Tamandua tetradactyla: one gene and its partners. The protein of the gene in region 3 interacts with the protein of the main gene of each other region in a pairwise test. Links are inferred from orthologs where the notes say so. Each region holds a gene or a part of one and is shown on either strand. Other genes may lie near its edges.

The links. The genes of interacting proteins can lie anywhere in the genome.
Region 1: the proteins of PNKP (region 3) and ZNF639 interact in binary tests that used the Homo sapiens proteins (3 or more experiments, as listed by UniProt). The two-hybrid records come from large-scale screens. The link is inferred for Tamandua tetradactyla from reciprocal best matches to the Homo sapiens genes PNKP and ZNF639.
Region 2: the proteins of PNKP (region 3) and TRIM37 interact in binary tests that used the Homo sapiens proteins (3 or more experiments, as listed by UniProt). The two-hybrid records come from large-scale screens. The link is inferred for Tamandua tetradactyla from reciprocal best matches to the Homo sapiens genes PNKP and TRIM37.

What each region holds. Positions count from the first base shown.
Region 1 is NC_135331.1:77,607,712-77,611,459, forward strand, and holds the start of ZNF639 (zinc finger protein 639), read left to right. Parts: upstream 1-954; 5' UTR 955-1,045; intron 1,046-1,277; exon of another isoform or gene 1,278-1,410; intron 1,411-1,431; exon of another isoform or gene 1,432-1,700; 5' UTR 1,701-1,788; intron 1,789-2,353; exon of another isoform or gene 2,354-2,470; intron 2,471-3,748. UniProt on the Homo sapiens protein: Binds DNA and may function as a transcriptional repressor.
Region 2 is NC_135332.1:40,340,820-40,344,567, reverse strand, and holds the start of TRIM37 (E3 ubiquitin-protein ligase TRIM37), read left to right. Parts: upstream 1-1,024; 5' UTR 1,025-1,250; exon of another isoform or gene 1,251-1,295; intron 1,296-3,748. Other genes in the region: lysophospholipase D GDPD1, read right to left, coding at 719-860. UniProt on the Homo sapiens protein: E3 ubiquitin-protein ligase required to prevent centriole reduplication. Probably acts by ubiquitinating positive regulators of centriole reduplication.
Region 3 is NC_135342.1:11,295,031-11,298,778, forward strand, and holds the start of PNKP (bifunctional polynucleotide phosphatase/kinase), read left to right. Parts: upstream 1-989; 5' UTR 990-1,083; intron 1,084-1,424; 5' UTR 1,425-1,436; coding exon 1,437-1,587; intron 1,588-2,132; coding exon 2,133-2,179; intron 2,180-2,256; exon of another isoform or gene 2,257-2,536; coding exon 2,537-2,836; exon of another isoform or gene 2,837-3,095; intron 3,096-3,105; exon of another isoform or gene 3,106-3,368; intron 3,369-3,383; exon of another isoform or gene 3,384-3,454; coding exon 3,455-3,534; exon of another isoform or gene 3,535-3,618; coding exon 3,619-3,676; exon of another isoform or gene 3,677-3,748. UniProt on the Homo sapiens protein: Plays a key role in the repair of DNA damage, functioning as part of both the non-homologous end-joining (NHEJ) and base excision repair (BER) pathways.

The DNA of each region.
Region 1 (3,748 bases), on a different chromosome or scaffold from region 3:
ATGCTAGAGATTAAACGTCTCCAACTTGCTTTACGCGGGCCCTGTTAGCATCTGTGAACAACCGTTTATTGGGGCTGAGCACATCCACAAGGTTACCCGGTCATAAAAGCGTGGCTTCACCTCCTGGGGGCACGAGGGGATGGAACTGGGGTCAGTGGTCACTTTGCAGCCGCACCGGTCGCTGGCCGGGCGGGAGTGGGGAAGGCAACGCGGGCGCGGACGCGACCCTGACTGCAGCGCTGACCACCAACAGGCCTAGAACGCGAACAGCCCCAGGGGAGCATTCGTTCCCTTGCCACTTCCCTGAACCCTGGGCGCTGAGACTCGTATCCAGCCCCTCACTGGCTCACATTTCTAACTTGCTAAGTGGGAACAACCTCGACACGTGGTCGTGAGGATCAACTTGTACGTGCGCGCTAGTTCGTGCAAGGGCGGACAGGTCCTGCAGCCGCGTTCTCGCAGCACTGACGCTCCCCCGCGCGCTCACGGGGCCTCGCGTAGGTCAGGTCACCCAGCCCCAATACCACACTGGCCCTGGAGTCGAGGAGGGGCTGAGGCCAGCCGGACCCAGGGCCGCCCGGGCGCCCTCCACCTACTCCTGCGGCGGCACCCACCCGGCACGGCTCCTCGCGGGACGCCAGGAGAAGCCGGGCGCTTCCGGCCCCGGGACGCTCTGGCACTTCGGGGGTTCCAAGGTCTATATACCTTCCTTGATCCCGGCAAAACCCTTCTCGCGCTTGCCCCGAGGCGCTTCCTGGGGACAAGGCTGCCCACCCGCAGCGACGCCCCCACTCCTTCGCGGGCGACCTAGGGGAGCCCCCGGGCCAACGAGCCAGCAGCGGACCAAGCGGTAGGGCCCACCCGCCGAGCGTATGAGGGGCCACACCCCCGCGCCGGCCACCCCCAGGCCAGGAGGCCGGTGGTCTCTCCCGAGCAGGGGGCGGGGTGCGGTCGCGCGCCCCAGCCGCCCGCCCCGCCCGCGCTCGTCACCTCCCTCGCGGTTGGCGGTCCCCTGAGGAGAGTTGCGCAGGCGCGGCGTGCGGCGGTGAGTACGGCCTTGGGGCCCGGGCCGGGACTGCTGGGCAGAGCGTGGGGCGCGCGGGAGGGAGACGGGTCGCCCGGGAAGCACCGGCGACCGTCAAGGCCAGCGCGGTGCGGCCTGCCGGGGCACTGGGCCGCTGGGCCGCGCACTCCTCCGCCCGTGCCGGGGCCGCTGGACCGCGGGGCTGCGCCTGGGCGGGCCCGGGACGGGGGAGCGCGAGGGAGGACGGGAGGGCGGGCCCGGGGCCGCCGGGCGTGCGGACCGAAAACCTGCCGCCGTTTTAGGGCGGGATGGCGGAACCCTCCGCCCTCGCGACGACAGGGCCACACCTAATCCCGCCCTCGGCGCGCCTCGGCCTCCTGCTGCTGGTCAGCTTGGGCCTCTGGGGTCGCTCCCGGGACACCCCACCCCCACCCCAGGCCCACCGTCTGCGTGCGCGGCGCGGGGATGCGGGTGGCGTGGTCCAGGCGTGCCCCGCGCCCCGCGCACCTTAGGGCCTCCCGCACGCCTTGGGTTCCCCAGCGCCTAGAACCGCACCCTAGGGCACCCCACACTCTGCGTCCCTCGCACCCTACTCGCGTCGGGCCCGGTGCGGTTCTCCAGCCCGTAGTCTAACCACTCGCCACGCTGCCTAGCCCTTTTGGTTTTATTTTTTCAGTACAGCCTAGGCACACAAGTAATTGAAGCGGATTTTCTCTTTGCAAAGGGGTAAAAGTTGGTGCCTGACTGAAGGATATGCCCAACCAGTAAGTGACCATCTCTGTAATCAAAGGTTTGACGCCGAGTTGAACACGTAGTGGACGCTTGTCTAGTTCCAGCTCTCCTGCGTGTTTGTGTTTCAGTTCCTTTAAAATGTGGAAAATAGGTATACTGATTTTAAAATGGAGGTGAAAGTGCTTTTTAAACCTTTTAGTAGAAGAGGTAGATTTTAATTGTAAATATTTACCTTATTTTAATAAGGATTAGGAGAGAATATTTACACTGCATGAAAGGCATTAAAGAAGGTTCTATTTGATGTGTTACTGCCCTTTATGTACTGTGTTTTTTACATAGACATTTATTGTTGGTTGGAAAAGTAATAGGGTGCTTAACGTGTATTTCAAAGTTGCTTTTTTTAAAAAAAATGATGTTTACTGTAGTGTGATCCCATTTTGTAAATGTAGCGTATATATGTATACCTTCACGTAGAGCTAGAAATATGTACAGAAATGTTAACTGTTTTTTGGGGGGAGGGGTGAAGGGTCCCTGGGTAACTTAAAATTTTTTGTGTTCTTGTTTGTTTTCCTGCACATCTGCATATTACATGTGTAGTTTGTTTTTTTAAGTGGAGAAGGTGGAGCAAATAATAAATTGCATGCAATTCACAAATATCCCAATGAGAGGACTAGTGAGCAAAAGTCTTCATAACAGCAGAAACGCAAATAAAAGGTATATAATAAATTTCTGCTACAATTAAGAATGGTTAGCGTTTTTGACCTTGAATGGGCATTCACCAGCTCTCTGAAAAGAGGTCCGATAAGTATTTGGCCATTGTTCAGCTCTGGGTAGAGGGCAAAGTCCTCCTGATCGAGATAATCTTCTTCTTCTAACCCTGCGATCTGATTCCAGGCCCGCTGGCAACAGTTAATTTTAGCACCATGCTTGATTTATTTTTCTTTATTGTTCTTCTTTTCTAAAGAAATTGGAATATGTTCTGAAATAACAAGACACTGTCATAACATGTTTTGCTAATGGTTTTCAATTTCTTCTCGCTGATACTTTGAGCATTTAGAATATGAAGTGTGAGGCTATTGACTATATAAATTCTGGATGTATATCAAAGATATATTAGGAATAAGTCTTGGAATTTTACTTTCTTACATAAAGATGAAAACTGCTTTTCTTTATTTGATACTTTAGTACACTGCATTGAAATGGTTACTCAAGAAATAGTATTTGTGTTAGGTATTGGCATCATTTCTGTAAATCTCATGGTTGTCAGTTTCTTTGGGTGATTGCCACCCCTTCCCCCAATTGATGGCTGAGCATAAACGAAGCAAGAATACAGCTTGCTGGTGATGGCGATTAACCATGAAGATTTATTTACGCACAATTGATCAAAGCCTAGAAGTCAGAAGATAGGCATTTTCATCTCTGATTCTGCCACTTCCTAGTTGACTTGACTTTCAAGGAAACTGAGTCTGTTTCCTCATTAGTAAAAACAGCGTGGGTTTGATTATAGCCCCTTTATCTAATTCATCGGATTATTGTGAAGATCAAATAGGATAAGGGTTAGAAAAATGTTCAGTAAACTCAAAGTACTATCCTATTACCAAGTGATCACATCACCTGTAGTGCTGAGGTACCCACAGCTTAATGAAGAAGCAAAAATAGTATGTGCACCCGAGTTCTTTTTCATTAGAATGAGATGGTCTTAGTAATGATACCGAATTTTTCCTAACCCATAAATCACATCACGGATTAAAAAAGAAAAAAAAAGGGTAGTATATAAAGAGGATATAGAAGACTTCATACTGCTTTTTTTTCTTGACATGCCTTACCTCCCATTGTTAGAGTGGAAAAACCACTAATCTGAGATGGAAGATACAGCCCTGATTTTGGGACTAATCTACTTATTTGAATTGGGATGATTACCTCAGTTTCCTCATCAATAACAAGAGATTAATAAAAACTGTTTTGAGAGGCTTTTATGAATTTTGCATATCA
Region 2 (3,748 bases), on a different chromosome or scaffold from region 3:
GTCACTCCAGTTCTTTTCCCATTCCTGCCCAAGTTCCCACGGTGACCTTGGGAAGTGTCCCCCGACAATGGGCCTCGGTTTTCCTCTGTGTGACTCTGGGCCACCGCTTTCAGCAGTGTTCAAAGCGTGGGGGCAGCACCTGCCCCCGGGGACTACACATACCCGGGCTGCATGCAGCACTGCACGGGCTTCATCTTGTTCCCAAGCCCTGGAAGCCTTCAGGTGCCCAAGCTCATCACTCAGGCTCTCCCCACACGCTCAGCCACCCGCTCGCTGTCCGAGCCGTGAGCACCCAGCTCCCCAGGCTGGGTACGCCAGTCTTGCACCGCGCTCCCCCAATGTGTCTCGCAGCTGTGATGGGACCTTGCGATTATCCTTAAACACCCACCGAGAAACGCTCCGTCTATCTACCTCTCATTGTCACCCTGCTCCTTCCTCCTTCACAGAACCCCTCATACCGCACCCTCTGCCCTGGAGAGACCCCATCACCGTGACCACCCTGGCTCTGCCTCAAGACTCCTTCTCTTCCCTCAGAGACCTCCCCCTTCACACCGTCTTCACCTCCGGGGATGTCCTCTCTGCACACACTCGCTTTCCTCCTCAAACTCTTACGCTATTTCCATCCGCCTGCCTTTTTCGAAAATCCAACAGACCCTCAGCTCTAGTCGGTAAAAAAGCTTCTCCCCCTCTGCCATCGGGTTCTGGGGACCCCTCTCACCTCCACGGTGAGAGATGTGTTTACTGAGGAATCGCTGCTTCTTTCTTTGGTGTAGCAGGGTCGGGTATTTGAGCAAGAAGAATGAGGTCACCAAGTACCCTCCCAGGGTGGAGAGAAGATAAAACGCTGCGGTGGACGACATCTCAGTCCCAGCGTGGGAAGTCCCCCACCTCCGGGCCCTCTGAACTCCGCTGCGATGGTCGCAACGGCTGCGGCGGCGGCGGCGACTGTCGGAGATCTGCTCGCCCCCAGCTGGTGCCAGTCGCGCAGCGCAGTTGTCCCTGCCGGCTCACCACGCAGGCGCAGCCAGACCCCAGCGCCGGAGTAACAAAGGGGCTCCTACACGCAGGCGCGCTCTGGCTCCTGGGTAGGCGCCTTCTGAAGTTCGGTTGTGAGCACTTTACCAGCTAGCTTTGTGGTCTGACAGCAACATTTGGAAGAAATTCCCAACTGAGGCAGACGTTTGGAAACCTGCCAGTGCCTTCGCCATCGCTCATGCAGAAAAGTGGGATTTAAGTGCAGCCTCAGGAAGGTATGACATAATTGGGAAATCACATCAGGAAGGAAAGACTCCAAGGTATTTCTTAGCCCCTATTCTAGGAAATATAACGAATTGCTACTGATGGAGGTGTTAACGTTTGCTTAAACAAATAATAAACCCCTCAGTTTGTCTAGCCAAGGAAAAATTTTCCCTGTTGTCATATACAGTTAAAGGTACTAGTTTATTAGTCAAATATTTAAGAAACCGACTCCTCTCCTCCTTCAATTCACTGTGAAAATGCAATTCCCCGTGCCACCTGCACGTCAGGACTCAAATATTTGTTGACTGAAAATCTCATTTAAAATAAGGAAACGCTGGCAAGATTTTAGGATATCACTTAAATATCCTAGAAAGACTGGCAACTAAATTCCAGAAGGCCCTATTTGTTTCACTTTTATCATACACATTGCAAACTACTAAAACAATAAGAACACAATAAAAGGCAAAAGCATCCAGAGCTGAAGGAGACAATTTGCAAGTAAATGTCTCCCACAGAAGAGGAATGCAGAGCGAGTATTTAAAATCTTGTGATTCTTGCTCCAGCCTTGGATAAAATCACTCATTTTCTCTTACTTTTGTCTGTAAAATAAGAGAATTTTGAATAGATGATTACTTCTATGCTAATAATACATGCTATTGTTCCTAAAAAGTCTATCTTTAAGAGGAGTAAACAAAATTTAGAAGATTATTGAAAAATGGGTCTTCATTAGGTTTAAAAAAGTAGCTGGGGAATAAAAAAAGTAGCTGGAAATGACTTTTGCATCAGTTTACCATGAGCAAACTATTTCTTGATCTGACCCCATATACCAAAGAAATGGTAAATGCCTTTTAGAAGAAAAAGAACTAAGTGTACAAATGTCCAAATAAAACCAAACTTTAAAAAAGTAAAACATTTTAAGAAAACTTAGATTGAAAAACCGTCTGTTAAGGTTTAAGAACTATATCAAACTATATCATAAAGATCAGCTGATATGTAAGTTTCTGTTTCCCTTTTCCAAAATATCACCTGATGGCAACTCTTCTTTAAATTTATTGACAACTACTTAGAATGAGCACAGACACATACATGTATTTGATAACTATTACCAGAAAAATAAACATTAACTAAAAATAGGTAACTATCAGATATGGAGGTACCTGTAGATTAGCAAAAAAGATCTCTAGACTTAAGACTCCTTATACGTAGGTATACCATTTACAAGCTAAGTGACTTTGGCATACCACTTAGTTTCAGCTTCAGTTTCTACATCTGTAAAATGGCTGTAGTAGTATCTAATTTCACAGGGCAGTTATGAGGATCTAATGAGGTAAAATTAAAGTACAAAAAGTAAGTAGTTTGCCCAAGACTTTACATCTAGTGACTGATATTGCTATTTCATTCTGGTCAAGAAGTTAAAGAGGAAATAGCATCAGTTTTCTTGAAACAAATAGTCTTGCTCTTTATGGAATATACCATAAGGGAAATTCCTACTTCAAAACTGTCCTTTGAAGCATATCAGACTCGGCAGATCCAAGAAGCAGTGAAAAGAACACTTGGGTTCTAGTCCAACAATTCCTTGTCATTTCAATCTCATGTAAAATTGTACTGTCTGAATCACTAGTGTTCTAGACAGTAGAGGCAAATGATGAGGGACACATATTACTAGGACCAGAAGGCACAAACAAACCCCAGAATTCTGAAGAAGCTCATGAGTTAGTTGTGATACTACTGTTCAAAGTAAGAAAACTACTGTACTAAATTGCTACTATGCTGATGTACTGAGAGACTGCCAACAGGATTTCCAACTATGAATAAGGGAATCTGATAATAGGTTAGAGCATGGGCCAATTTTCTGTAGGAGCAATTTAGTAATATGTATGAAAACATAAATTGTGTACATTCCTTGACCCATCATTTCTAGGTCTAGGAGTTTATTCTACAAAGAAAATTTCACAAGTATTCATCATTGTTTGTAGAAGCCCTAAATCCAACAATAAAGAACAGGTTAAGTAAATAATGATAATGAAAACTATGCAGACATAAAAAATGATGATAAAGACTTACATTTATTGACAAGGAAAAATGTCTACCATATATTGTTTTTTTTTTACCATATATTGTTGAGTGAAAAGAGCAAATTACAGAATATGTATTCTAAGATTCCAATTATATTAAAATGAATACATATTTATATGTGCTATGGATATTCACTGTAATATTACCAGTTAACTCAGAGCAATAGAATTCAGGTAACTTACTCTTACCTTTGTTAAAAAAAAAAAAGTTAAAAAAATCATGACACAATGCCCATATATTAGTTTCACAAAAACTACAAAGCTATGTTCAAAAACAAAGACAATATTTTAAATGGAATTATAAACTCAGTATACTCACTTTTATATTGAGAAAATTGCTGTGATAAAATCAGTTCAATGCTCAAGTACATATAATTTGATAGGAGAAAAGGAAGTAATAGCCAACTGATATAGTCCTCTAGAATGTTTGCAAT
Region 3 (3,748 bases):
CCAGCTCCCGCCCCTCTCCCCTACCCCCACAGGTGCCTTAAAGGGCCCTCGTCCACCCCAGGTGGGGGACAGGGGGCCGCACTCTCCGGCCCTGGTATGGGGGAGAGAGTGGGGGGGTGGGTTAAGGAGTTTGGGATCGCTGCGATTAAAAGTTTTACCTCTGACGAGTATGATATGTGTTAACGGGTGTTCATTCAAACTTTTTTTGAAGCTGAAAGAGCAACATCTCATTGGTTCTCAGTACAAAGCTGGGAGTTGGGGTTATGCCCATTTTACAAGAAAACGGAGATTCGCGGGTTGGGGAAGAGGATTCCAGGTCTGTGTGACTGTGGAGCCCCCGTCTTTAGGGGTATTAGGGTTGGAATCCGAATGTCTTTTAGGAGTCAGTCTCCTGAACCCACATAATTCTCCGATTCTGGCAGGAACTGCCAGATGGGGCCGCAGGTTTCCTACCAAAAGAAGACTAGAAGTTAAGAGAGCCGGTGGTACCTGGCCCGAAGTTGGGACTCCGCAAAGTACTCATGACGCCTCCATGTCCCAACAGAGCACCATGGGAAGGGTGCGAGCAATAGACAACCTAATGTAGCCGGGTCTACTATGACCGCACGTTTTCTAAGCTCTCTACGGGTATTTACCCCTTGAATCTAGTAATTCACGAAGCGGAGATGATTATCTGCACTTTATGAATGAGAAAAGTGCAACATCGCGGTTAAATCAGAACGGTCTAGGATTAGTGCTGCTGTCAGTGACAGGGTATCTTCCACTTCAAATGCGAAAGAACCTACTTCCGCTGTAGCGGTCTCCAGCAAAGAGGATGTAAGTTAAGTGTTCAAGATGATGAGAGGAAAAACTATAAACGGACACATTCGCCCTACTGGCCTGAATCTCACATTGTAGTAGGAGGGACGAGGTCAGAGCTGAGAAGGGACCGCAGGCACAAGCGACAGGAGGAGGGGCGGGGCTGCTGTGATGGGAGGGGCCGGGCCCCGCCCCTTTCGGTGGCAGAGTCATTTCCGTCCGCCACCGACCAGCAAAAGCGGCCGGCTCGGCTGCCCGCAGAGCGCCTCCGGCGGGAGTTCCCAGGTGGGAGGTGGCGCGCGAGCCCGCGCAGCGCGCACGGGTGAGGCTGGGGGCGGGCCGGGAGCGCCACGCGAGGCTCGCGGCCTTGGTCCGGGCAACTCGGCGTCACGGCTCCCGGAGAGATGGAGCCGGGGGTCAGCGCCTGGGAAATGGCGCGGCAGGGTGGGATTTCCGGAGCTGGTAGCAGCTAAATGGAGGGGATTCCGAGTGGCGGGTCTGGGATGGGGAACTGTGGGTAGGTGAGACTTCCTGTGGGCCTTCGGGAGGAACCAAACCGAGGTGGAATTGGACGGAGGGCGGGACTCAAATCTGCCACTCAAACTCTTAAACCTACTTCCCGCTAGGCGCGGGCCGGGATGGCCAAGTTGGAGGCCCAGGGCCGCCTGTGGCTGGAGAGCCCACCTGGTGGGGCACCTCCCATCTTCCTGCCCTCGGACGGGCAAACCCTCGTCCTGGGCCGGGGGCCTCTGACCCAGGTCGCCGACCGGAAGTGCTCCAGAAACCAAGGTGGGCGGAGACGTGGCCTGCCTCGTAGAGCCGGAACGCCACCGGGTGGGGAAGAGGGGCCGTAGGCGCGGTTAGGGAGACGCTTGCCTGCCGCATGGGACTGCACGGCGCAGCCAACCCTGGAGCTGGCTTGTGCCTGACTTGGTGCTGGCCACACACTGTCTGCGGAGGGGGGGCTGGCGCCAGGGACAGGGTCACCAGTGGGCAGAGAAGGATGCTCACGAGCCACGGGCGTTGTTAGAGAGAGCCGCCCCTTCGGAGAAAAGTGGAGGTTGCTTGGTAGGGATGGCTGGTAACTGGCAATCCCAGAACCAGCAGGTAGCCACACCTTTTGTCAAGGAGGCAGCCAGTTCTCTCGAGAAAAGTACCCGCCCTTTTCCTGGGGGTTCAGTCTACCTACAATCACGTGTGTGAAAGCGTGAGCCAGTCCCTTCAGAAATCAGTAATTCCCCGGTAAGGGTGCTTACAGCCCAATCCTGGGGCCCAGGAACGAGGGATTCCACTACACAAAGATGACAATCCTGACTCCACCCCTCAACCCTCAGTGGAGCTGGTCGCAGACCCTGAGACGCGGACAGTGGCAGTGAAACAGGTACCAGAGCCTCAGCTTGCCCCCACCCCACCCCCGCCCCGGAAAGCCGGGGGGCGGGGTCTGGGGAGGAGCCTCAACCTCCTGGGAAAATCTGATGGGCTGGGGAGGGTGGGATGTGACCGGTAAAGAGACTCCAAGAGAGCTGCCTGTTTCCGTGGGGTATCTATCTATCTACCCTCATTCAAACTGAACCAAGCTACACCCTGCCTTTGAAATCTTTTCTAAAACCCGAATTGGTGGTACACAGTGAAGAGGTGGGTCTTAAGGGCCTGAATGGCAATGGACAAAGGCATTTGATGGGAGGACATTCCTAAGGTGGGGCAGAGCCAATGCTGGTTCCTCGCTCTTGTTTTGCAGCTGGGAGTTAACCCCTCAACTGCCGGGACCCAGGAGCTGAAGCCTGGGTTGGAGAGTACCCTGGGAGTAGGAGACAAGCTGTATTTGGTCAATGGCCTTTATCCCCTGACCCTGCGATGGGAAGAGGCCCACACACCAGGATCCCAGCCAGACACTCCACCGGGTACCCCTCCGGTGGCCCCAGCCATGGGGCAGGATTCTGGGCCGCAGAAAAAGAGGATGCGGAAGTCATCCCCGGGTTGGGAGGACTTGGAAAAGCTGCTAGTGTTCACAGCACCTGGGGTGAAGGCCTGTGGCAAGGTGAGGCCCAGCTGGGGCTGCAGGGACCCCCACTGGGGACCCAACCCCACACACACTTGCTCTCTGCCCCTGGGCAAGTCATTAGAGTTCTCACATGACAAATTCAGGGGAAATTATATTTTCAGCTCCAGCTTGACCTATGGTAGCCACCTGGGAACTGTGGCAGGAGCATTATGATGAATCATTTTTAGGTCCAGAGACTTGAGTTCAAAGGCACTTAGCATGCTGTTTTAGGGCTTGGACCCCCATTCCCTCGTTTCTGAAAAGATGAATCCATGAAAAACACATGGCTTACAGTTAGCACCCAAATAAAACTTGGCCTGTTTTTAATTCCTGTTGTTAGCCCTTGGAGGTGAAGAAGGTGGGGCAAGGAGAGTACGAAGCTAAGAATGCCCATTTTAAAGAGTGGAATACTGAGACATCCAGAAGCAATGAGAGACACATCAGGCCCTGCACTCAGAGGCAGTGAGGGTGGGTCCTGGAGGGACTGTGTCCTTGCATAAGATGTTCACCTGTGACTCGGTTTCCCCACCTGTAAAATGGACACATGTGAATCTGTCTGTGGGTGAGGATGAGAAGTGTAATCACATTGTGTTCCCTTCTTCCTGGTGTCACCAGGTGGCCGGCTTTGACCTGGATGGGACTCTCATCACCACACGCTCAGGGAAGGTCTTTCCCACTGGCCCCACTGACTGGAGGTGAGAAGAGGCAAGAGCAGGGAGGGAGTGGGACCCAAAGTCTCCCACCGAGCTCCTGGCTACCCTGCCGCTTCCCCACCCTAGGATGCTGTACCTCGAGATTCCACGCAAGCTCCGTGAGCTGGATGCCGAGGGCTACAAGGTGTGTGCGCACACACGTGTGTGTCTGTGAGCAAGCGGTGCATGTGCAGCGCCCGGGCCTCAGGACAGGCTG